Linked DNA regions of Rhinolophus ferrumequinum. The protein of the gene in region 1 purifies or fractionates together with the protein of each later gene. This does not show direct contact. Links are inferred from orthologs where the notes say so. Each region holds a gene or a part of one and is shown on either strand. Other genes may lie near its edges. The genes, in order: L3MBTL3 and SAMD13.

Evidence for each region.
Region 2: the proteins of L3MBTL3 (region 1) and SAMD13 purify together in Homo sapiens (affinity purification with mass spectrometry; 3 studies listed by BioGRID and IntAct, counting the BioPlex papers as one, with this or other methods). This does not show direct contact. The link is inferred for Rhinolophus ferrumequinum from reciprocal best matches to the Homo sapiens genes L3MBTL3 and SAMD13.

What each region holds. Positions count from the first base shown.
Region 1 is NC_046286.1:77,799,206-77,811,312, forward strand, and holds the start of L3MBTL3 (lethal(3)malignant brain tumor-like protein 3), read left to right. Parts: upstream 1-6,152; 5' UTR 6,153-6,259; intron 6,260-6,934; exon of another isoform or gene 6,935-7,058; intron 7,059-7,114; exon of another isoform or gene 7,115-7,313; intron 7,314-7,970; exon of another isoform or gene 7,971-8,222; intron 8,223-9,424; exon of another isoform or gene 9,425-9,443; intron 9,444-9,742; 5' UTR 9,743-9,819; intron 9,820-12,088; 5' UTR 12,089-12,107. UniProt on the Homo sapiens protein: Is a negative regulator of Notch target genes expression, required for RBPJ-mediated transcriptional repression. It recruits KDM1A to Notch-responsive elements and promotes KDM1A-mediated H3K4me demethylation.
Region 2 is NC_046292.1:63,239,065-63,250,534, forward strand, and holds the start of SAMD13 (sterile alpha motif domain-containing protein 13), read left to right. Parts: upstream 1-6,838; 5' UTR 6,839-7,018; coding exon 7,019-7,028; intron 7,029-10,179; exon of another isoform or gene 10,180-10,297; intron 10,298-10,383; exon of another isoform or gene 10,384-10,520; intron 10,521-11,470.

The DNA.
Region 1 (12,107 bases):
ACTAGAGTCAAATGAATAGATTATTCAGTTTAGTGAGGGCTCCTCTGAGTTAGGATTGTTTTAACTGTAGTGAAGACAATCAGCTGGACTAGTGACTAAAACTCAGTTTATCTTTTCAGTCTAATACATTTTCAGACTTTCTTGAAACTCCACAGACACCTGATTAGATTTGGGTTTTCGCAAATCTCTTCAGTCCTTTTATAGACCTGAAAGCTAGATTGCTCTTGACTGATTTCATCAGTGTTTTCCCCATTTTATTCTTCTCTGTCTACAAATTTTGATAGTATACATACAGAAGCTCCCAAATTAGGGACACTAGGAAAGAACTGTCTCGAAGTTTTCATAGAAAAATATTGGGAAATTACTGAGATATGGTGAAATGTTTTAATACTGAATTTAAAAATTTTATTAACTTTTATTAACTTAACTTTTATTCGTGAAAGACTTCAAACCCATTGAGAAAGCTCACTTTGGAAACCTTTCTATTGAGTCTAGTTTCTGAAATAAAACCCAGTGAAAGGCATAGCTAGTATAATTTAAAGTAACAGATTGTCTTTTCAAATACTGACATTCCATTCGGCATTCTACATGAACAAAGTAATGTTCCAGATTTTTTTTTTATATAGTTACACTTACAGAATTTACGTGACGAATTCAATTCCAGATATAGGTATTAACCACTGAAACCATGCCTCAGTTACCTCCCTTATGAAAGATAATGTAGGAATGTTATAACAAATATTTAGTTAAAAAACTGAAAAGGGCTTTGAAGTTGTAAAAGTGTAATATAAATGCTAAATAAAGATAATATATTCTGAACAGCAGGCTCCTTTGAAATAGGGCCTATGAATTCCATTAGCACTCTCTGTTTACATGCTTTTAGGAACTTTTAGGAGAATGTCGCCCATGAGTATGCCTGTGACATGATACCTATGGTCTAGTAACCAGCGGGAAAGGGGCAAGTAAAAGAGCGGATGTAATAATTCACATACTAATATTTCCTTGTCATTCAATAAATATTTATTGCATACTTAACTATGTGCCAGTAAAATTCTGGGTGCTAGGAATACTGCAGGGAGCAAAACAGGCAAAAATTCTTACTCACAAGCTAACATTTATCGATTACTAACCATGTACCAAGGATGAGTCTTGCATTAACCCATTATATCCTCAAAACAGCCCCATGAGCTAGGTATTGTTAATATCCCCATTTTACAGATATAGAAACTGAGGCAAGAGAGGTTCACCAAATCACACATTAGCAATTAGTGGAACTGAGATTTGATCCTCGCCATCTGGCCTACATGTTCCAGTAATGAGAACAAAGTGGTTGGGTGCTGGACTGACTACATTGACTTTTTGACTTGGTCTCCTTTAATTTTGTAAGGCTAAAAAGAACAAGGCATAACACATTGCCGTTGCTTGGGGTCTTTTATCTACTCAATTCAAAAAATGATTCAATTTTCTAGAAGGCATGGGGAGTTATGGGGATACTAGTGAAGGCAGACATTCTAGTTATGCGGAGAGTCTTCATGGTGACTACGGAAGGGCCAGGCCTTTCCGAGACAAGAAGGTCATTTGGGAATAGGATGTTATACAGAGCCCAGTGCAGCGCTGGCACCTTTACCTTTATGTGGCTGGCTAACTTCTGCTCTATTCTACCTTATGATTTCTACTTAGGTAGTTTGTAATGCCTAATAGCTAATGAACTTGCACTCTACCTTTTTCTGTCTGTGAATAGTTTAGTTTTTGTAATGCCTATCAACTGACTTTATCTTCAGTATTTCCAGTTCACATGGCCAAGTGTGAGAATATGACTGGTGCAATTTCATCATTTTCAGTCATATGGGAAAGCATACCCTGCTGACTCATAGTCCACCTCTAGCTACTCGATTCAGTCATTGGATTAAATGCTCACTCCTGGACCAATCAGCTGTGGCCAGGAGGCCAGGTTAAACGAAAAGAGCATTCTAAACAGGATCTAAGTGTATCAGCGGCTGTTGTCACAGACATCTTCTCAAGTCTGGCTTGTGCCTCTAGCATTGTTTAGTTATAAGGCTTCTGGATTTGGGCTTTAAATGAGTACGTATGTTATGGAAAATTATAACCTGTCTTTTTCCTTTTAATTTAGGAGTTAGTTTACATTCCCATATTATTCCACACCTTTGAACATGTCTGTCATATTTCTATCTTTACCTTTGCATGTAAACGAAATGATAATAAATATTCACATCTCTCCAGAAGCTCTTTATGTATTAATTTCCTTAAGATGTTGAGAGCATGATACACATTATAATCCTTTCCTTACCTGATGAATAATATACCCTTTTCCTTTCACCCTCAGCATTTCAATTACATTTCACTATCACAAGCTCTGTACTCATAATGTATGCAGATGTATCACAGAAAGATAACCAGGATTCAAATTAGAGTGCCTATATGAACATTTTGGTGTTATCTAGAACACTTAACAAGAAAATCAAACTCAGCTCTTACAAATATCAATAATAAGAATCTTGGCCAAATCAATGTTAACATCATTTTTATACTTGGAAAAACATGGAGCACACAATTACGTAGGCCAAAAAGATCAATAATTTGACTCATATTTAAAAGTAAGATAATACATTTAAAGGTTGATTTCAAATATTGTTCATTTAGAAATTTCTACGAAAGATTCAATTTTACCTTAAAACTTGCACACATTATAACATGGGAGGCTGGGGTTAGGAAAGAAGTTTGTAGCTATGAAAACACATCAAAACTAACTAGCCATTAGGGAATGGAACCCATGACCTTCATCTCATTAGTACCAGGTTTAAACCAACTGAATGAGCTATAAACTGATAACATTTTGATACCTAGCAGATGGATGGATTTTCCTTCCTTACTTAAAATTCCTTTCTTGGTTCCACATTATTTGTACTAAAATGTGATAGTGGTCCTGTTAGGTGGGAAGTATGGGGACGGACATGGTTTTCAAAGAGACCTCAGAAATCAATTACTCTGTTTTCTTAATCGAACTCAGGAGAGAATTGAAGCCCTGAAAAGGGAAATAAGCTCAGTAATGGTTCCCAGTGGGTGGTGACAGAACCAGATTAGAATGAAAATTTCTTGGCCTTCACTCCTGGGCACTTTTCATTTGTGAGGGGCTGGCTCCTGGAGGAGGTTGTCCTTGAGTTTTTCCGTGTCCTATCAATGCAGAACAAGTTTAGTTTTAGGAAAAGGGAGCTTTGGTTTCTCAATGGAAGTTGACAGAGTGAAGGTTGCAGCATGGCGTACAGCGAGAGAGGTTTTGAATGATCTTCATCTGGGAGGTGGTGAGAAGCCTTAGAAACCCTGAAGATTTGTTTTAACACATTTTCCATGGAAAATGATTTTAGCTTCCGAATATTTAGGAATGGAGTAATCTGAAGTTACTTTGAGGGCAATGAGTTTGGAAATAAATAAATACAAAGGAAACTAAAGGAGTGAGCTAAGACCTTAGTTTAGAATTTCAGGGAAGTTATAGACCTGGTCTGAAGGATGGATTTGGTATTGTAGGTGTGGTAGGGTAAAGCAGGGGGGATGGGAAGAGGGGAGAGTGGTAGAGAATGATGAGATTAAGTGATGCCGGAAAGAAAGAATTCATGACTTACTAACCAGTGACTGAATGGTGGAAGGGTGAAGGAAAGCAAAGATGCTTCCACTAGTATACTACCATTTAGGGAACAGATGGAGAAAGGTCATGTGACTAGTACCAGTTCGAATGAAGAATACCGCAGTACTATGTAGATTCTAATACTGCATTGTGCCTCTGTGTACAGTGGTGGCGCCAAAGGATTCTTTGTAGGAAAAATGGTAGCAGCCTTTAAAGTCATTATTATTCTTACACATGAATACCTTCAAAATATTTGTTATTCTGAACCACATCTTGGCAACTACTGAGATGAAATCTTTGAGGTTATATTGATGATCTCTTGAGGAGAAAGACAATGTAGAGACAGCCTCCTGATTTTTGTTAGTGAACTTCAGTAAGTGCATAGGCCCCAGGCAAGCCTTGTTCTCCAAACCCTTGGACTTCTACTCAGGATTTCTCTGATTGGATCACCTTCCCAGAGGAAAGGTGCAAGCACACACCCTGGACACTTATCCTTCAAATCAGCTTAACTATGACTGTTTTTAGAAAACCTTTTCTTATTACTATAGGTGCTCCTCAGTTGTACTTGCTCTGCAAACCCCTACTACAGTATTTACCATACTATAATGCAATGCCCAGTTTACTAGACTGTTTCTCTTGCCGGACTAACTTCTTTTGGGCTTAGTTTTTATCTTGTGTTATTTCCCCAGCACCCTGCAGAGCACTTAGCACAAGGTAGGCCGTTAATAGGTTTACAGACTGTTGAACCAACATCTCTGAAAATATATGTGAAATAGAAATATCATCCAGAACTTATCTACAGAGAATGAATCTAAAATGGATTTTCAGAAAGAGGAATCTAAAATTAATTTTAGTTTCTTTTGGGGTAAGGTCTTAGTTTTGCACATAGCTCGTGGGCTTTCTTTCCTTCTCTTCCTGTAGTTGGCCTTTGGCCATTGCAGTGCTCATTATTCAAGGACTAGAGAGAAAAGGAGAGAAGCTGAAATTTAGATTAATAATGCTGTTTGGGAGCAGCTCTGAAAAAGGTTGGATGTGGTGGGTGAAATGAATAGTTAACTTGCAGTATGAGATTATCTATAGCTTTCAGTAACCCAGCCTTCCACACTTCACCCCTAAGCCAAAGGCTTCCCAACATATGAAGCATATTTTATAAGCTTATTTCAACCTTACAGTGTTTGTTCCTTTGTTCTTGAGTACATATCAAGCCATACACGTATGTCCTGATTTTTGACTTGGAGAATTCCCTCATTAGACCAACAGAAGAAATAGTCTGGTGGTCTGCTTCTCTAGGGTAATTTCATGGTCCTGAGGAAAGAATTTAACAGTTTATTTTCTGAAACTGGTTCAAGGAACATTCCTTAAGTGAAAAAAATTCAATCAAGAATAATATTACTTACATTTTGGAGAAGGATTTTTAATACAGAATTTCCATCTGTGATATATTTCAATTCTAGGCCTCAGGCAGCAATTGCAGATAAGGGCCTCCTTTACTCTTTATTAGATACAAAATAAATAGTACAGTTTCAGGGACTGGGGCCTCTGCCTTACTTTCCCACCGCTGCAAAAATGTAAGAGTTGGTTCCATCATTCCTGAAATCACACAGGCTACTTTATTTCTTGCACAGCAAACTCTGTTATTGACATTAAGATGGTTATCATAACTTCAATTGTTTGAATTATTTTGTAAGTGCTTGTACCTAGGAAAAAAGGAGAATGGTGAGCTGCCCAAAGGAGGCCTACAGTCAATAAATGGAAAGTTGTCAATACCGAAATACAGTACTCTCTTAATCTAGTTTTGATGCCTTAACAAAGGCAGATTTTGCTATTTAGGACCGCTCAGCCATCTTGATTGAATACATTAAAAGGCAGTCTTCGACTTGCTTATTGCCAAGGTACTTTAACACTGATTTCTAAGTTGATGTACGGATCTCAACACACTAGTACTTCATAACAAAGGCCTAACATGTTTAAAAGCCGTCAAAGAGACCAACACTTAAGAAACGGAAAGAACACGCATTTTACACGCATACTTTATTATGCATTCTTCCAGTCCTACAGAGAGGGAGGTTCTACTGCGTAAAAGCTTAAAACTTTATTTCATATTTTTCATGACCTGTGGCATGCATTTAGCCTTTGGGTAGTGTCTGTATAAGACTAAGGCCCACTCTTTAATGGCTGAATGCATACATTGAACAGTACGTGGTGGATTAGCTGCTCTGAGAATTGTCTTTTTAAAAAAGTAAAGTGAAAAATAGACAAAGAAATCTATAACCTTAGCTGTCTTTCAGATTTGTTTTGACTGTTCTTGAACCAGCTCTGAGCCAGTGACAAGGATATTGAAAAGATGCACCTGAAACAGTATCTGCGGGCAGCTGCATTTGCCAATCGGCTTTATTGCTGCTTTCCAGCGGCGAAGGCGCAGCAGCAGTAAGAGGGAAGCCAGAGCGAGCCTCCCCGGCAGCGGCGGCGGCGGCGGCTGCGGCGGCGGCACCGGCACCAGCGCAGTTTCCCCTCTCCCCAGCCCTGACTCTACGCGCACATGCGCACTGCGCCCGCAGCCCTGGACCATTTGTCAGGACTACTCGTGAGACGGAGAAAAAAAAAAGAGAAATTTTGGGGGTAAGAAGCGTTTGATCGGATCTAATCTCTAATTAATCTGAAGATTTGTCCGTGCAAAGGCCATTCATTTATTTTTCTGTGTGAGGATGAAAGTTAAGAGACCTATAGAGAGAAGGAAGCGCACCCTCGTCTTGTGAAACAGATCAGGGGAGGGGAAAGGACAGAAGGGGTTTCTCCCCCACTTCTCTGCGCCTCTGGGAAAGAGGAGAAAACTTAATCCTGGGGGGAAAAGTGGGCAAGTGACTCGGAAATGGCTGGAGGGGGAGTCTCTGTGCATCTCACTCTGAAGTAGTGAGTGCGAGTGTGAAAGAGGAACAAAAGAGAGAGAAAAGAGAAAGGAAAAAATGGGGGGAGGAGAGACTTGTATTTTTTTCTTTGCGCGCACACGGGGAAGGGTGTGTGGGGCCGTGCGGAAGGGAGCCGGGGCGAGGCGGCCGCGTCGGGCTCTCGCCGGCGCGCAGGCGGCGGGATGCGTGTGGGCCCCCTCCCCCGCGCCCCCCCGAGCTTGTCACTTTGGTCGCTTTCATGACACCGGGCGCGGGGTGGGGGAAGCGCGGCGGCGCCGGGCTCCGCCAGGGTGCGTGCCCGAGTGGGCGCCGCGGAGCCGCAGCTCGGGCGGCGAGCGCAGCCGCCGAGGCGGGGGGCGCCGGCGGGGGGCGCGGGGGCGGCTGGGGCCGCGGATCCGTGCGGCGGGAGGCACGAGCCCCGCGCGCCGCCCCTGCGGCCCCCTCCGCCCGTGTGGCCTTTGTGCCGAGCGCGCACCGGAGAGCGAGCGAGCGAGCGAGCGCGAGAAGTACAAGTACGGGAGACCGAGGCAGTGGGAAAAGAGGCCGGGCCACTTTCTCCCCGCTTGGGCTGCGGAGAATGGACTGGTTGAATGTGCAGGCGCGTCTCCCCGGCGTGTGCTGTGTGTGCACGGCGGAAAGGCCTCCCCGACTCCCACCGCGCACACGCACACTCACACGCACGCACACACTCACGGACCCGCGGCGGGGCTCGGCGGCCGAGAGTTTGCATTTTCTTCCTCGCCACCTCCCCCTTCCCGACCGACTGTGTGAGAATTTCATATAGATCAGCTCCAATTTCCGCCATTTTGGGAAAGTTGCACAAAAATAAACCCTCCGGTTTATTTCTGCCCGAGGCAGGAAAGTGCTTCGGGAAGCGAGGCGGCGCGGGCCCGCCGCGGCCGTCCGCGCAGGGGAAGGCGCGGGCCGCGGGCCGGGCCGGGAGCCCGCGCCGTCGCGGCGTTTGCCCCGCGCCCTGCCGCGCCGCGCCGGCCCGGGTGCGGGCGTGTGTCGGGAGGCGGCGGTAGCGGCGGGCGGCGGCGACCGCCGCGCCTGGGCGGCGTTGGGGGGGGCAGGCGCGGGGCTGCTTTTCCTGCAACTTGTTTACGCCGTCCTTATATTGGGGAGGCAAAGAGGGGTCCGAGGTGGGGCCGTTGCCGGCCTGGAGCCGCGTGCGTGTGCCATTCCGGAATAATGGGTTTTGCACACTCGCGTCCTGGGCCCGGCGGGCCGTCCTCGCGCCGCGGCGGCCGGGCGGGGGGAAGTAGAGGCCGACGGGGGTGGGGATCGGGAAGCGCAGGAGCCGCGGCATCCGCCGCGCGCCGGGCGAGCTGGTGTGGGGGGGGGAGAGGGAGGAAAACTTGTGAGTCCTGGAGGCGGGGGGCGGGGTACGGTGGCATGGGCTGGGGGAGGGCGCAACTTTAGTGCTGGTGGTAAAACTTTAATTACCTTAAAAAAAAAAAGGCCCTATAATCCTCCCCCCCCACCTCTGGTGAAAGCACGGCCCACAGTGCGACCGTGAGAGAAAGTTTAAAAGCGGACGATCTCCTCCCCACCTTCCCCGCGGAGGGGTGGGGGTATCTGTCCGTCTGCGCTCCGAGGAAGGTGGGGGTAACAAGTCGCCCTCCGGGGTGGCTCAGACCGTGGCTCTCACCCCACCCTTCTACGGGGAGACGAAGGTAAACGTCGCTTCGGTTTCCCTCCCTCCCCCCGCTTCCTTTTCCTCCCCCTCCCCGCCGATTTTTTGAGGGGACCCAAAAAACGGAGTCTCTTTCCTTATGCAACTTCCTCGGCGCTGTTAGCTCGGCCCTTCCCCCTCCCTGCATCCCTTGGCCCGCTCCTTAACCACCTCGGGTCTACCGCCAGAAAAATGCATTAGAGATCATTCAAAGTGCACAGAAACAAAAATAGATTTTTAATTGTTCTAAGTTTAAGTTAAGGGAAACAGATGAGAAATAAGAACGGGGAGGGGGGTGGCCGGGGCGAGTGCGTCGATTTTTTAATTTTGTTTTTACTAGAGCGTTGTTTGTGATATCTTTATTGATTTTGGGAGCCCGCGAGTCTCCGTACTGGCTAGCTCGGTCGCGTGGATTTTTGCGCAAGTTTTTAGAAAAACACTGACTCGAGTAGAGCATTTCTCCGGAAAGTTTCAAGTGCAGCAAAATAGCGAACGTGCAAAACTGGCCAAGGGGAGACCTCTAGTGGTTAAACGCATCTTTAAGTTCGGAAGGCCGAGAGCAAAGTTTGGCCTTTACTTGGAGCTACGTGGTCCGTTCAGACGTGGAAGTAATTAGAGGACCTGAGCTAGCAGCCAGATGTTGTGTGAAAGGATGCTGATCAGAAATAGAATGTTCAGTAAATCGGGGAGCAAATTGATTCTAAAGACCCAGACCCTATAACTTCCATTCCTTATTATTTATATGGGAAAAATACTTTGCTTTTATTTTGGACTTTGAGCTTCGTCACTCCCTGGATTAGAAATCTATTTTTTTCTTATTTATGGTTGTCTATACATTTGATCAACTTTTAATCAGGAGAAAGCGGATAATTTCATTTTGAATGTTAGTAAAAGTACAAAGTACAATATGTGTTTAAAACTGAAAAAATGAAAAAGACCTTTGGTTGAAATTTATCTTTTCTATGAGCTGATCATTTTATTCTCTAGTAAATATAATTTAAGGCTAGTATTTAGTATCTTTATCATACAGTTATATATAGTCATAAAATAAATGGTCCCTTTTAGTTTTAAGAGTGTAATTTTGTTTCACTGGGCAAGAAATTATTTCTGAATACTTTGTATAATTTGTGATTTAAATACTTAAATATATGGACAAAAACTGATTACATAATATCTATTCTTTTGCCAGTGTGTGTTCTGTGAAGTAACATTAATTTTAAAGGTAAAAGCAGTGAGAGTAAGTTGAATCAAATGATCCCTGTAACCTTCCCTTAATTGTCCTGCACTGGGAGAGACTTTAATGGGTGAATTTAGGATATGGGGAATAATATGAATGGTAAAATTCATTTCACCTCATCCAGAACTAGTTTATTTTATTTTAATATACTAGGTGATACTGTGAAATTATGCAGTATGTTAATGATTCAAAATTTAAATTTTGTAATTGTGGATGGTCGACGTGAAGGCTTCTATTTTTATGATAATGCTTTGATTTTACTTTTCCTATCTTTAAATCAATAGTACACTTTCAGGAGGAGTCTTGGGGGCGGACAACAATCATAAAGACCACCAGACAGTTATTTCTTCACTGCTACTAGGTAAGATTTGCTTGTCGAAACAAATTGCTTGATATAGTTGCAAATGTTAAAGGCTGCATATTGGGATCTGGAAGGAGAGTGTGGGGCGAGAATGGCAGAAAACCATCCTTCTGTGGGGGTTGCTTTGCATGCATGAAAATCTTAACACTGTGATTGAAGCTGGAATAAAACATTGGGAAAAGTTATGAGAGTGCCCTGGATAATCTTTGGACTGGCTCTCTTACTGGATTCTTAACGAGTATTTCAATTGCTGTTTTCTATTGAAAGTAAATTATTTTATTCTTTGGAGTTGAAAAAGTGGGAAAACTAGAACAAAGCAATTGTAAATTAACATAATTGTTGTGTAAGTACACAGTGATATGGAAGATTCTGGAACTTGGTAAAAGTTTGTAGGTGAAGTTGACAGCAAGAACTTTGGGCATATTTAAGTAATTTAACTCCTGTGGCTTAAATCCAACATGGGATGACTTACACCAAACATCATGTCATAGGGTTGCAGTAAGTTTTTAGTGTGTTACCATAGACTTGTTGATTTTTGAACATATCTCCACAGGGAGTACAGCTGTTGTCCAGTCAGATCCCTTTGGCAGTTTTGGAGGGTGCTGATTTTTCCTCAGTAATCCAGGACCTGCTTTCAGGACAGAGGTCATTCTCAGGCAGAAGAGATGGGCCAGCCCTCACTTGGGTAGAGCATCGAAGTACATTTTGCCACTCTAGTGCTTTCTACTACCGTGTTTCCCCGAAAATAAGACCTAGCTGGAAAATCAGCTCTAATGCGTCTTTTAGAGCAAAATTAATATAAGACTGGGTCTTATATTATGAGACATTATATTATATTATATATTGTGTTATATTATAGTAGACTGGGTCTTATATTAATTTTTGCTCCAAAAGACGCTTTAGAGCGGATTGTCTGCCTAGGTCTTATTTTCGGGGAAACATGGTATTTATACCTTTCTCTTTTCTTCCCGCCTTGAATCCTTTTCATTTCCTTTTCTGCTTCTTTTAATTTCCCTTCACTGTCCTGAGTATTAAATGAGTTGCTAATAGTTGTTGGGCAAAAACAGAAGAAAACAGGACTAATGATCCTCTTAGACCACAGGATAGGTGTGGTCTAGATGTCAGCACTGAATAATTACCGATACAAAAATGATTGTTAGCAGTTTATTGTCAGTTTCTGCTTGGGGATTGTCTTGGATAGTGTTATTAGCAAAATGCATAGATATGGTTCCTGTGTATGGTGCAGCAGAGACAGTGGGGCAAGATCCCAACTACAAGAACATCATGCAGACAGAAGTAGAGTTCATGTAGAAGAACTGTGTTTCCTAGGATGGTGAGTCTTGTATTTAGACCTGCTGAGTGGAAGGAAGACAGTGATTATTTTTTCTTCGTCTGGGGAGTTCTGGGGCTATGGCTAGAGTGCTAGTCTCTAAATACCTTGTATAAGTACCTTTACCCCTTTGAGCCTACATTTTCCCATCTGGAAACTGGGAGCAACAGTGCTTGCCTGCCTTCCTTTGTTGAAAGAATCAGATAAAACGGGGTTCTGAGAACTATCAAGAATTCATTCAGGTGTTTGGTAGTCATTTCACCTCAGCCAGGCTTTGTGAAGGACAGAAGGTAGGTTGTTTAGGGCAGAACAGAATGATTTAATTCCTGGCTAAAATTACTAGATTGGTTTCTGGTGTATATGTTATGTGCACTTGTCACGGTACTTCCAGGGTATATGTCTTTTCTTTAGGAAAAAAAGTAGTTTATCTCTTACGGCTCCTTAAGAGAAGGGACCATGTTTTGACGTGGTGCTGAACACCAGCTGAAATTTATTTATCCCAAGCTAGTCATTTAATAGGTAGGAGTAAATGAAATAAATATTTCAAATTTAAAATGATGCCTAATTGTGGAAATGGTAGGGTGATGAAAGTAGAAGGGTTGGTGTGAGGGGAATTCAGGTCCTGTAATTAATATTTTAGTTGCATGAGTCTGCTGGGAAATGAAGATGATAAAATAGGTAACTGGGATAGTAAGGATTTAGAATATAGGGGCCAGAAAATGGATCCTGCAAATGACTGCATTTAGGGAACGGTCCATGGACAGTTGCCCGAACCCCTATGTTTTCTAGACCCCTTTGCTACTTTTTTCTAATTATAACCTAGATAGTTATCTAGATAGAAAAAAAAAGTTACAAGTACTATCTGTCATTATTTTCCGTTTGTTGATACTGAACTTGGCAAACCCTGACAAGTTTTAGTTCACCTCTCTTTTCTTACAGATTATCCAATCAAGGGTCT
Region 2 (11,470 bases), on another chromosome or scaffold:
TACAGATGCAAAAATCCTAAACAAAATACTAGCAAATCAAATAGAACAATACATTACAAAGATTGTACATCACGATCAAGTGGTTCATTCCCGGGGCACAAAGATGATTCAACGTACACAAATCGATCAGTAAGATACAACACACAAACAAAATAAAGAATAAGAATCATATGATCATATCAATAGATGCAGAAAGCACATTTGTCAAGATACAACATCCATTTCTGATTAAAACACTTAATATAATAAAATAGGTATATAAGGAAAGTACCTCAATATAATAAAGACCATATATGACAAACTCTCAGCTAATATTATACATAAGTAATGGTGAAAAACATTTTAGGTGGATAATTCAAACAGTAGACAGATAAAAAAGGAAGTGGGGAGGCAAGACAATCACTCACTTTATTCATGAGCCAAACAACGAGACCTAATTGACTTCCTTTAAAGATTAAAAAAAAAAAAAGTCAGGAAAAAATACCATGGGACCCATGCAACAGTAAAAATTTAAAAAATTAAAAAACCTGGAAAAGCAGAGGGAATAAACAAGAAGAAATTAAATCTCCCCAAATCACACTAAAAGCACCAAGAAGTAACACTCAAACTGAAAAAATTGGACATAGAAGGCAAACTATTGAAAAAAATCACATAGAATTTAGTGGAAAATGGCACAGAGTGAAGGTGATTAGAGAGAAGATGAAAGATATGGCCAACAGATAATGGAGAAGTGACATATGAATGACTGACGTCTTTGATGATGTGAGAGAATAAATGGAACTGGAAAATTTACGTAATAGAAGAATTTTCTGAAATAAAGTATAACTTAAAATTACATTTTAAAAGGGCTCACCATATTCCAAGAAAATTTAATAAAAGCTTTTTTCTAGAACTTTAAGGATTGAAAAAAAATTCTATAGTCATCTAAGCAGAGGGTAAAAGGACATCTTCAAAAGCAAAGAAATTGGACATATTCCAAGCAATGTTAGATGCTAGAAGAAAATGGAACAGTGGTTAATGAATATTGAAGAGGGGAAAAATTCTATACCTGGTCTAACCATCTTTCATGAATACTGGTAAGAGAAAGAAATTCTCAAATATGCAACTCAAGAAACATAACATTTATGCAGTTTTCAAATTTGATCAGGAAAAAAATTCAAGACAATGAGCAGATGAGTAACAATAATGAATTCACGAATGAAAAAGTCATGATGTACAAAAGGTTTGGCAATGAGCTTTGAATCTATTCATACATAAAATTATATTTAAATAAGTGGTATTCTAAGTCATGAAAATGAAATACATAATTGTTGTAATGCCTAAATGAAAATTACATAATATAAAGAATAATATTTTGATGGTAATAGACTGGAACATGAATCATAGTTGCTCTCAAAACTAATAGAAAGGTGAGGAGAAAAGAAGATAGTCTTAAGTAGATTAATTTCATCTTTCATCATTTCATTTCTAAGGTAAATTGAGAAATATAAATGTAAACATATTATTGAATACACTTTACAGTGTCCAGATTGGCAGACAGAGTGTGGTGGCGGCCTTCTGAAGTGGCTCCCAATGGTCCTTACCTCCTGGAATTCACGCCCTTGTGAGTAGGCTGGACATAGGACTTGCCTCTATCAAAGAGAATGTGGCAAAATGATGGATTTCACTTCTAAAATTAGGCAATCAAAGACTATGACTATGACTTCTGTTTTGCTCACTTTGTTTCTCTGACTCTTCTCACATGCCTACTTTGATCAAGTTGTGAGTTGCCCTATGAAGACGCCCATGTGCAAGAAATTGAGGCTTTCAAGGGCCCATGAGGAACTAAATCCTGCCAACAACCACAGGGGTGAGCTTGAAAGCAGATCCTCCCCCCAAGCTGAGCCTTCAGCTAAGAAGGGAGCCCAGTCCAATCTTGACTGCAGCCTGTGAACACCCTGAGGCAGAGGACTCGGCTAAGCCATGCCAGGATTCCTGACCAACAGAAAGTGCAAGATAAGAAAGTGTGTGTTGTTTTAAGTTGCTATGTGTTGGGGTAGATATTTACACAGCAATAGATAACTGATACACAGAGGAAGATAAAAATAATAAAAACCAAACAAAAACAAAGAAAACATCATAAAGCAAAAGAGAAAATGAACAATAAGGATTCAAAATGTAAACAGACATAACAGATGAGACTAAACATATCTACTTAAAATAATTTCAAGTGGGATAGAATTAACTATTTTTAACAAATGATTCAATGGGACAAAGGGAGTCACTTTATCATGGCAAAGGATACTATTTACTATAAAGTTATTGCCAGTTTGAATTTTCATGTATCAAATAATGCAGCATCAAAACACATAAAGCAAAACTTCAAGAAATAAGAGGAAAAACAATGTTAGGAAAGTTTAGTAAATTTTTTTCAATTCTTGAAAAATCAAGAGAAAAAATATATATGAATATGCAAGATGTGAATAATATGATCAAAAAGATTGATGATAATATCTACTGTCTAATAGACGCTCAATATGTACTTATTATACGAATTTTATATCTTACAAGGAAAAAAAACCCTAATATTTTAGTATTCATGTAACATCTACAAAAAGAAATCATATGTACAGGGAAAAAAACGGGACAATATATACTAAATATTTAAAAAGAACAACTCTAAAAATGGATCTATTGGAAACTTTCACTTTCTGGTATTTTTTTCTGATTGCTTTAACTTTTACCACATATTCAATTTGTTTCCATAATAAATAAGTAAGATCTTTAAATGTTGCATCTCCTTAACGCTTTAGAATTTTCTTGAATCATTCCATTGTCTTTCTTTCCTTTCTGACAGAAAAAAACTATTCCATCTTCCTTCCAAGAAAAAAACAGTTAGTTCATAGTTCCACCTTCTCTAGAATGTTATTCCATCAATTATCCTCTGTTCAAAATTCTCATGTTTCTGCTTCTAATGGCTTCTTCATGTCACCTTACAAACACAGTTGTCTCCTGTCCCCAGTCAGAGATCATCCCTTCACCTTAAGGGCCCAGCTTCCTCCTGCCCTTCTTTGCTAAAATTCTCTACTGCACACTCCACTTCCACACTTACAAATCCACATCTTCTAGACATACATTTTATTGAATCAATATTGTTTATGGACCTTTGTTCTTAGAGTAATTACTAGCTTGTGACCAAATCCTCAACTCCATCAAAGGGTTAAATCCATGAAAAGGATCAAGGGCAGAGGAGGAGAAGACTGCACTCTGAACTAGCAGGCCCCCCTCCTGGCAGGAGTCCTGGATGAGAATTACCCTGGGACTGAGTCCTCCCTTCCCCAGACCTTCAACATTCCACCAACATGGATTAAGAGTCCACCTGATTCTCAAACCTCTTTGTCAACGTCCATTCTCAAACCTCTGAGTCAGGGAACCCAAATACTCTTCCCTACTCCCCACACAAACAACATCCCGACCATTGTATTCCTTCACTCCTCTGGGACTGGTTTTATTATCCCCTTTATCTCTGTTTATGTCAGTTCCCACAAGAAGTTCCAAACTCCCTAGTCTCTCCCGAAGTCTCATTCCCACAAGGCTTTGAATATCCCCTGATCTTTCTCCATCCTGCTGCCCTTTCCAACCCCTGAAACTTCTCCACTGTGCCCTTTGAATTCGTGATTCTTCTTCCACATCACTCTTCATTGCTACCACTCTAGTCCAAGCTACTATTACTTCTCACCTGGATTACCGCAATAGCTTCTCAGCTATTTGCTTCCACCATTGCTCTCTGTGATTCATAATGGATAGAGCAGTCAGAATAATCCTTTAAAAATATGCTTGACCTTGTCAGTTCTCTGCTCAGAACTGTCCAGCAGCTGCCCATTTCATTTGGGATGAAAGCCGAAGTCCTTGTAATGAATACCCTACAAGCCCTACAAGACTTGTTCCAACCCAGTGGTTATCCTCCAGTCCTCCTGCTTCTCCCTCTCTACTCTCCAATCCAGCCACATCGGGACCCTTGCTGTTTCTTAAAAACTCCAGGCACACAGTCACTGTGTGGCCTATACCTAACTGTTCTCTCTTTCTGGAATGTTCTTCTCTCAGAAACCCACAAGGCAATTCTCTTACCAACCCCAGATCTTTTCTTGAATGTCACCTTCTCAATAAAATTTACCCTGATCACTGTATTTAACATTTCAACCTACACTGCCTCCTGCATTTCCAGTCTCCTTTATCCTGCTTTATTTTTCATAATACTTATAACTTTCTAAGATACCATAGAATTGACTTATTTGTTTATTTTTATGATTTATTGTCTGTCTGCCCCACATTCACATTAGATAGGCTGCAAGCTGTATAAGGGCAGTAAACTTCCTCGGTTTTATTAGTTGATATATCTCAAGTATCTAGAATGGTATCTAGCACATAGTGAACACTCAAAAGATATTTGTTGACTGACTGAATAATGGTTCTCAGCATTGTCAAACCCACTGCCCCTTTTAATAACAAATGTGGGATAACATCCTGTTTAATATGGTAAGGGGAAAGTCATAAGGTACCTACGCATGTCATTAAAAAGATTCAAAGCTATGCTCTAAGTGTAACATAAAGGGAAAGGTAGTATGTGATTCAACATGGAACTGCTCAGGCATCCCTAAACTAAAACTCACAACGAAGTAGTAAGATGCTCGCATCCAACTGCAGAATCGCCATGAAATGGACAGCCACCAAAATGGACTGTATTGATTCAAATTCCAGGAATAGTATTGCCATTCCATTTACTGCATTCCAGAAAAATTTAATATATTTTAAACTCTGTGAAAAAACATTTTATACTTATATATAAAGTGGATTCTAGGCTCAGGTAAACATAAACAGTTTTTTTTTTTTCATCTACATGAAAGAGCTGTGGGATAGTCAAGTCACACAGGATGCAGGACAATTCTTTGCTGTGCAGGACTGTCCTGGGCATTGCAAGATGTTTAGCATCTTTGGTTGACCAATGACATTCTAGTAGTCCTCTTTCTGTTGTCACTGGGACAAGTAAAATTACTCTGGTAACTTTTCAAAACAACTCCTGGAGATAGTTCCACTCCAATAGACTCTTGATCTGTAAATCCATTAGCCTTTTCTCTGTTGTAATTGGCAACCCCCCTGTGGATTTGGACGTATTGATGAGCTCATCCTCACTCCCTTGGCTTCCATGTCACTGCACTCTTGCAGCTTTCCCTTTCCCTTTCCCCAATTCCTTACCTCCCCCGGCCCACCTCTGCTGCCCTTCCTTTTTCCTTTTCACATGATCTTCAACTACCTCTCCTAAAAAATTGATTCTCCAAGTTCCATTCTACATGATATCCAAATGCACATTTCTAATTGCCACTTTGTCAGTCATACACAGAAAGCCTTGAGTTATACATGTTCAAAATCAAACTAGTCATCTTCCTCCAAAACCTGTTATTCCATCAGTTGTACCTATTTATGTGAATGACAACATCATACACTTAATCTAGAAACGACAACCATCTTTGATTTCCTATTACACATTCCTCACATCCAATTGATTGCACTGTTCTGTCCATTTTCCCTCTGAAGTCTCTCACAGCTGCTTCTTTTTTACCTCTGTAGTTCAAGCCATCATTACCTGTAACTTAGAATTTTGTCACAGCCTCCTAACTGGTACTTCTACTCAGATTTATCGTTTGATGCTTCCATAAAAGAGTTTCTGCAGGTAATACGAGTATTTATAAATAATATTATTTCTACTTAGTATGGTGCCTGGCATATAATAAGAGTATAGATAATATTTATTATATTATAATATTAATAATATTATTGAAATTTTATTTATTTAATTAATAATAAATAATAATAATTACACTATACTAAGTGTATTCCATCTCTTTTAATCTGCACAGCCAAATTACAAAGTAGGAACTATTACCATTTAAATCTTAAAGATGAGGCAAAAGAGGTTTGGGAAAGTTAAACAACTTAACCTAAAAGTTACAGGGCTAGCTCCGAGTGACAGCAGGATTCCCAGTCTTTTTGACTTCTAAAATTTCTGTTTGTGTTATATATAAAATTATATATATAATAGATATACACGTTTTCATATCGCCTAATCAAAACCTTCTATTCAGTCTCTATCCCTATCCCACCTTCCTTTTCCTTCCCACTGCATTCTTCCAGTCTATAGGCTCTTCTTTTGGTTTTACTTATCTCGGTATTTACTAAGGACTTATTCATCAGCTATTTCAAGCAAGTCCTTCATAGCAGACTCCTCTTCTTTCACTGTGTCCACCACGTCTGTTCACAGCTCTCCTTCTCTCCATCTCTCTTCCCAGCTGCTAAAATAGGGTTGAGGAAGGAAGTGAAGAGTGTGGAGTAGCTCCAACCTTGGTAGGTGTGAAGACAAAAAAACTTCTTGCACCTTGATTTTTTCTCTGCCTAATTCAGTGTTGCTTTATGGTTCTAATATAATGAACCAATTAAGTAAAAAGTGCTTTGTAAACTGTAGAGTGCGCTACAAATGTAAGATGCAATTATTCACCCTCCCTTTGTATATTAAGGGCTTCAACTGAGTTATTCTGTGAACAACAGAATAGGCGTTCCAAGCAGAGAATGCCACGTGTATGTTTGGGGTGAAGGGAAAATAAGGTCCTAAGTAATACGAACTTGGCCTTTGTCATTAGTGCCAAAACCCGTCTTAAAATTTCACCAGGATTCAGCGAGTAAGACATTGTATTAGCCTGAAAACCACCAATTTTAAGATCTCTCTGGAAGTGTCCTCTTCTTCACAGCTGTCTGGAGGTTTTAAGTTCTTAAAAATGTTCTCCCTTACATTCATAAGGCCCTTGTCTCTTCCTGGCCTCCCCCATTCCTGGTGGCCCCAGCTACGGTACCCTCGCCCCTGCCCGCCCAACGGCCCGCTGAGGACTACAAATCCCGGCATGCCCGGCGCACCCGCCCGGTTGCACTGGGGCTGGGCGTGTGGCGGCTGCGGAGTTCTGTGCGGGAGGAAAGCCTCCCGGTGCTGGCCATGCGGGGAGGTAAGTGATCCACTCATGCTGCCAGGGCACTGGGTACGCGCCCGCCCTCTCCCCAATCCAGGATGAAAGGAAGCGAAGCAGACCACAATAAAAAGCGCCTTGCCCTCCCTCGTCTCTGCAGTGTGTCCGGTACTCCGCAGCTTGTTGCACCCACGAGCGTGGAATCTGTCACTCTGGAGTGGAACTGGGGACAGAAGCGTGCCTGGCCCCGTGGAGAGCTGGGGCTTGCGAGGGGCTGTGGCGCCGAGCTCGCACGCAGGATGGAACCTGGTGAAGGCACCGCTCGGCGGGGCGCACAGCGCGCCACACCCCCACACTCCCTTTTCAAAGATAGGCTGCCCCGCGGAGCCCTCAAACTCAAAGACCAACCGTTTCTTCTTGAAAGTCTTGGCCGTAAACTTTTCCCTCTGTCGCCGGTGCCTCAAGCGAGTGGTTTGGCTTTCGGCCGCTTCTGGTCCAAGACACTTCCTGGTGTCCCCTCACCTACCCTCTGCCCTGCCCCAAGTGCCCCCCTCTCCAGGTCGCTCCTCACTTTCCCTTGAGACACCCTTGGGGACCCATTGAGCTCTACCCTGCCCTCGGGTGACTTCTCGAAATTTCTTCTGCAGAGAAAAAGACCCCACGTGTGCCCTCTGCCCTGCGGGCTGGACACTTGAGGGCTGATTCCCTCCCCCCGCCCCCTGCCCCCAGACCAGAGGCAGGAGCCGGTGGTTCTTTTGGGAGGGTGCTGCCTCCCAGAACAAGTCCTCTGTCTCTGGGGGATGAGTGCTGAGCAATAAAGGAAGCCTAATGGAGGCACCAGTTCCCTTCCGTCCTGATCCACCTCCCTTCCCCCTATCTGAGCCCATTCCCAAGTGTGGCCGAAAGTTCTGCTCCAGAATCCCAACACGAGGATCAATGAAGGTATTTTAGCCCATTCCATAATAGCCTGGATCAAAAGGTCTTGTTTGTTTGCATCTCTTTCTCTCTCTCCACATACACTCACACACACATTGCGCACACTACACGCACACACAACACCCACATATATTACACATAGCACACATATTACAGTCATCACACATGTACATTGCACACACATTTCATTTATGCTACACGCTACAAACACATTTGTATTAGCAGAGAAGAGGGTGAATATCAAACAGTTGGTTGAATGGAGTGAGGAGGAACTGATTGAGTACTAGTATATATGCTTATACTCACAAATGTCAATTTATTCCAAAGTTAAAAACTAGCTGATAAGTGCAATCTGGTGTCAGAATTTAAAATGCCTTTGTGGCTCATTTTTTTACAAAATGGGATTGATTTTCTACACCTTCAGAAACCCTTACCCTTGTCTAACAGGCAAACGTTTGGTCACAGCAGGCAAGACAGGAGGGGATGTCCTTTTCTATATGTAAGAAGAAATCCTGGAAGAATCATCACAGAATCCTTCCTCCTATGAGTGTGTCTAAGGAAGAGTTGAGTGTAACTGCGTTTTCTACTCTTTCCTTTCAAGAGTAGGGAGCTGAACCTGATTTTATTCTGAGCAGAGGCATGGCAGTACCGTCAGGACACCTTCCTTGCCCCCCAGGATTCAAACAGCCCAGCCCTCTTCCATTTGAACTTAGTTGGAGAACAATTCAGGAATTTCAGATCAATTCCAAAAGCATTATAAAATCTGTTGGTAAAAGAGTTCTCTTGTCGGTTTGATCAGTGCTGGTAAAAGACCCACCTGTTGGACCCATGCTCAATAAATGGTGCTCAAAAATATATAAACATTTAGAATTTATCCCTAAATAATTGTTTGCTTTGTCAAGGGTGTAATGGCAAAGGTGGACAGAGAGATTACTTCAAATCTTTCTCAGTGATAATCTCAAGAAGTTGACATTTTTCTGATATTCCTGGAATAAGTAAGAAAAAAATTTTTGACTGAAATTCAGGTTGCAAAGTTTGGTCATGGTTGCTGGTTTTCTAGTGCCCTTAAAAACTACTAAAGAAAAGGGAGGCCAGCAGCTTTCTTCTCAATTCTGCCTGAAATCTATACAATATTATAGCAGCAGATAACTTTTTCTGGGATCCTTCCTGGGAACCTGTATTATCTGCCTTATCTTGAGTGGTTTTGTTTACACCTTGGCCTAAAAGTGTTCAAATATTGATTGGTGTTTATTTCAATGACAACTATGTACGTATATTTCCTGTACATCTGCAGCGTGTTTGTGGAATCAGAATGTTTCCCAGCCACGCAAGAGAACTGTGAAATTGACCAGGCTAACAATGAAAAGATCATGTCCAGTCTCTCTATTCCACCTCCCAGTTTCCTGAATTGGGATTTAGGGTGGTGGTGGTGGGAGATACTGTGAATTTGAGGGGTGACAGAATATCTTGTTTTGCATATGCAACTAATAGAGTACCAGTTACTCATAGATAATATGTTAGTTGAATTTATTGTGCAACTGGGATAAACAGTTAAAATTAAACCTGGCAGAACTAATTGTTTTATAGAATAAGGCTCGTTTCATTTTGAGTTTTTGCTGACTTCATCTGGGAGGATGAATGCCAAAATAAAAGAATGTGGGCGTTCTCAGGAGATCTGGTCATCTACTTTGCATCCTCTCTGAAATATGTTACTTCCTGTATAATAAAGTAAAAGGATTTTCTGCTGGGCAGTACTTTCCTTATCCTCACAAAGAGATTACTTAAAAGTCAGCCATGAGAACTTTGTCCACAAGTCTATTAGGAAGAAAGAGTAACACAGGACTGCAGCTTCTGCGCGTTCACTGGCTATTGCCATAAGTACTGGGTCTTTCTCTTATTGCCTCTTATTTTTTTTCTCCCACAGAGATGAAAAAGAAATAGTTTGAAACATGACATTCATGTTTAGAACCACAGCAAAGACTTATCATGTAGCAACAATGAAGGGGAGGGAGAAAACAAGCTGTAGATACAGCTCGTTTTTCTTTGTGCAAGACAGGTGCAGGGAGAATTCTGCAGTTTTTGGACTCGTGATTCATTCACTTCCACTAATTGTGCTGAAGGTAGTTAGCAAAAGTGAACAGGCACACTGTAGCTTTAAAAAGTCAGCCATGAACCAGAAGGCAGTTGGTGCAGCTTGTGTGTGATTCCTAACGTCATGTTGGCTGAGAGCCAGCCTGGTTTTATTTCACTGTGTCAAATTGTACCTCCTTATTGAATTCCTTTGCCAGCCTACTTTGTGAAAGAAAACATTGGGGTTTCTTTGGCTGTTCTTGATAAGCCTATAAAAAATGACATGTTTTAGTTGCTTCTAGGTAGGTTTTTTTTTTTTACTCTTCCACAAAAAAGAAAAGAATAATAATAATAATAAGACAATGTAGTGTGGTGTTACAGAATATCATTGTGTTTTGTTTTGTTTTGTTTTCTGAGATGCTTAGAAAATGGTGAATATGTAACAGTTTCCAACTGAAGTGAAATCATTCTTTTGGCATGGAGCAGCAGCACTGTCTTCTGTCTACTGTGTTACGGTGTGTGAATGTATGTTAATATCTATATGTATATGCAATGTTGGATTTCTCTATGAATGATCTAAGTGGTTTAGCAACTGGAAGTTTGTGTGTATGCGTGTGTGTACCAGTGTATCAGGAGTGAAGATTATCCCACTACAGCATTATTTGTTAATCATCTACTTCTCTAACAGTGATAAAATCTTGTGAATATACTTAATGATGTACTTGTCATGTCAGAGTAATCCCTAGAGAAGGAGTGCCGAAGTATAAAGTGATTTGAGAGGAAATGTATTTAATTTATGGCTTCAGCTGTAGAAGAACAAGCACGTTTCAGAACTAGTTTTTTTTTTTTTTTAAGCAGTTTGTTCATAGCTTTTTCAGCTTGCTAATTGCATATTAATTGTGGAAGGTTTTTTATTTTTTTCACAGCCCTCATCCTACTAAACAAAAAGACTAAAGTGATGGATGCTAAAGTGATGGATGTTATTTTCCTTGAATGATGTGGTGATTTTTACATAAATCTAATTAGCTGCCTAACCTCTCTTACACACACACACACACACACACACACACACACCCTTTCTATGCTAAGGGCTCTCTGACATGTTTGTGAGCTTCAGTTTTACCAACGGTATGGCCATATCACAGGTTTCTGAGGCTTTCGCTGAGAGTATGTGAGGAAGGGGGATACTTGCTGACAAAAGCTTTAAGTGCTCTTTTGCATTGCAACGAAAAAAAATATAGAAAGAGTGGGGGTGGGAGTGGACCAAAAAATATGCAATAAGAAAAAAAAATCACAGCCCTTGGTGGGAAAGGGCAGGAAAAGGGGGATTGTTTTTCTCGACTTTGACTCATTTATGAGTTGCAGTGTCTTAAGTGAGAGCTTGGCACCCAGAGGAAGCTGTGCCAGTTCACACAGCACTTGTTTTGAACAAGGATTCAATTTCATTTGCAAATGCTCATTGTCAAGGCAGGGAG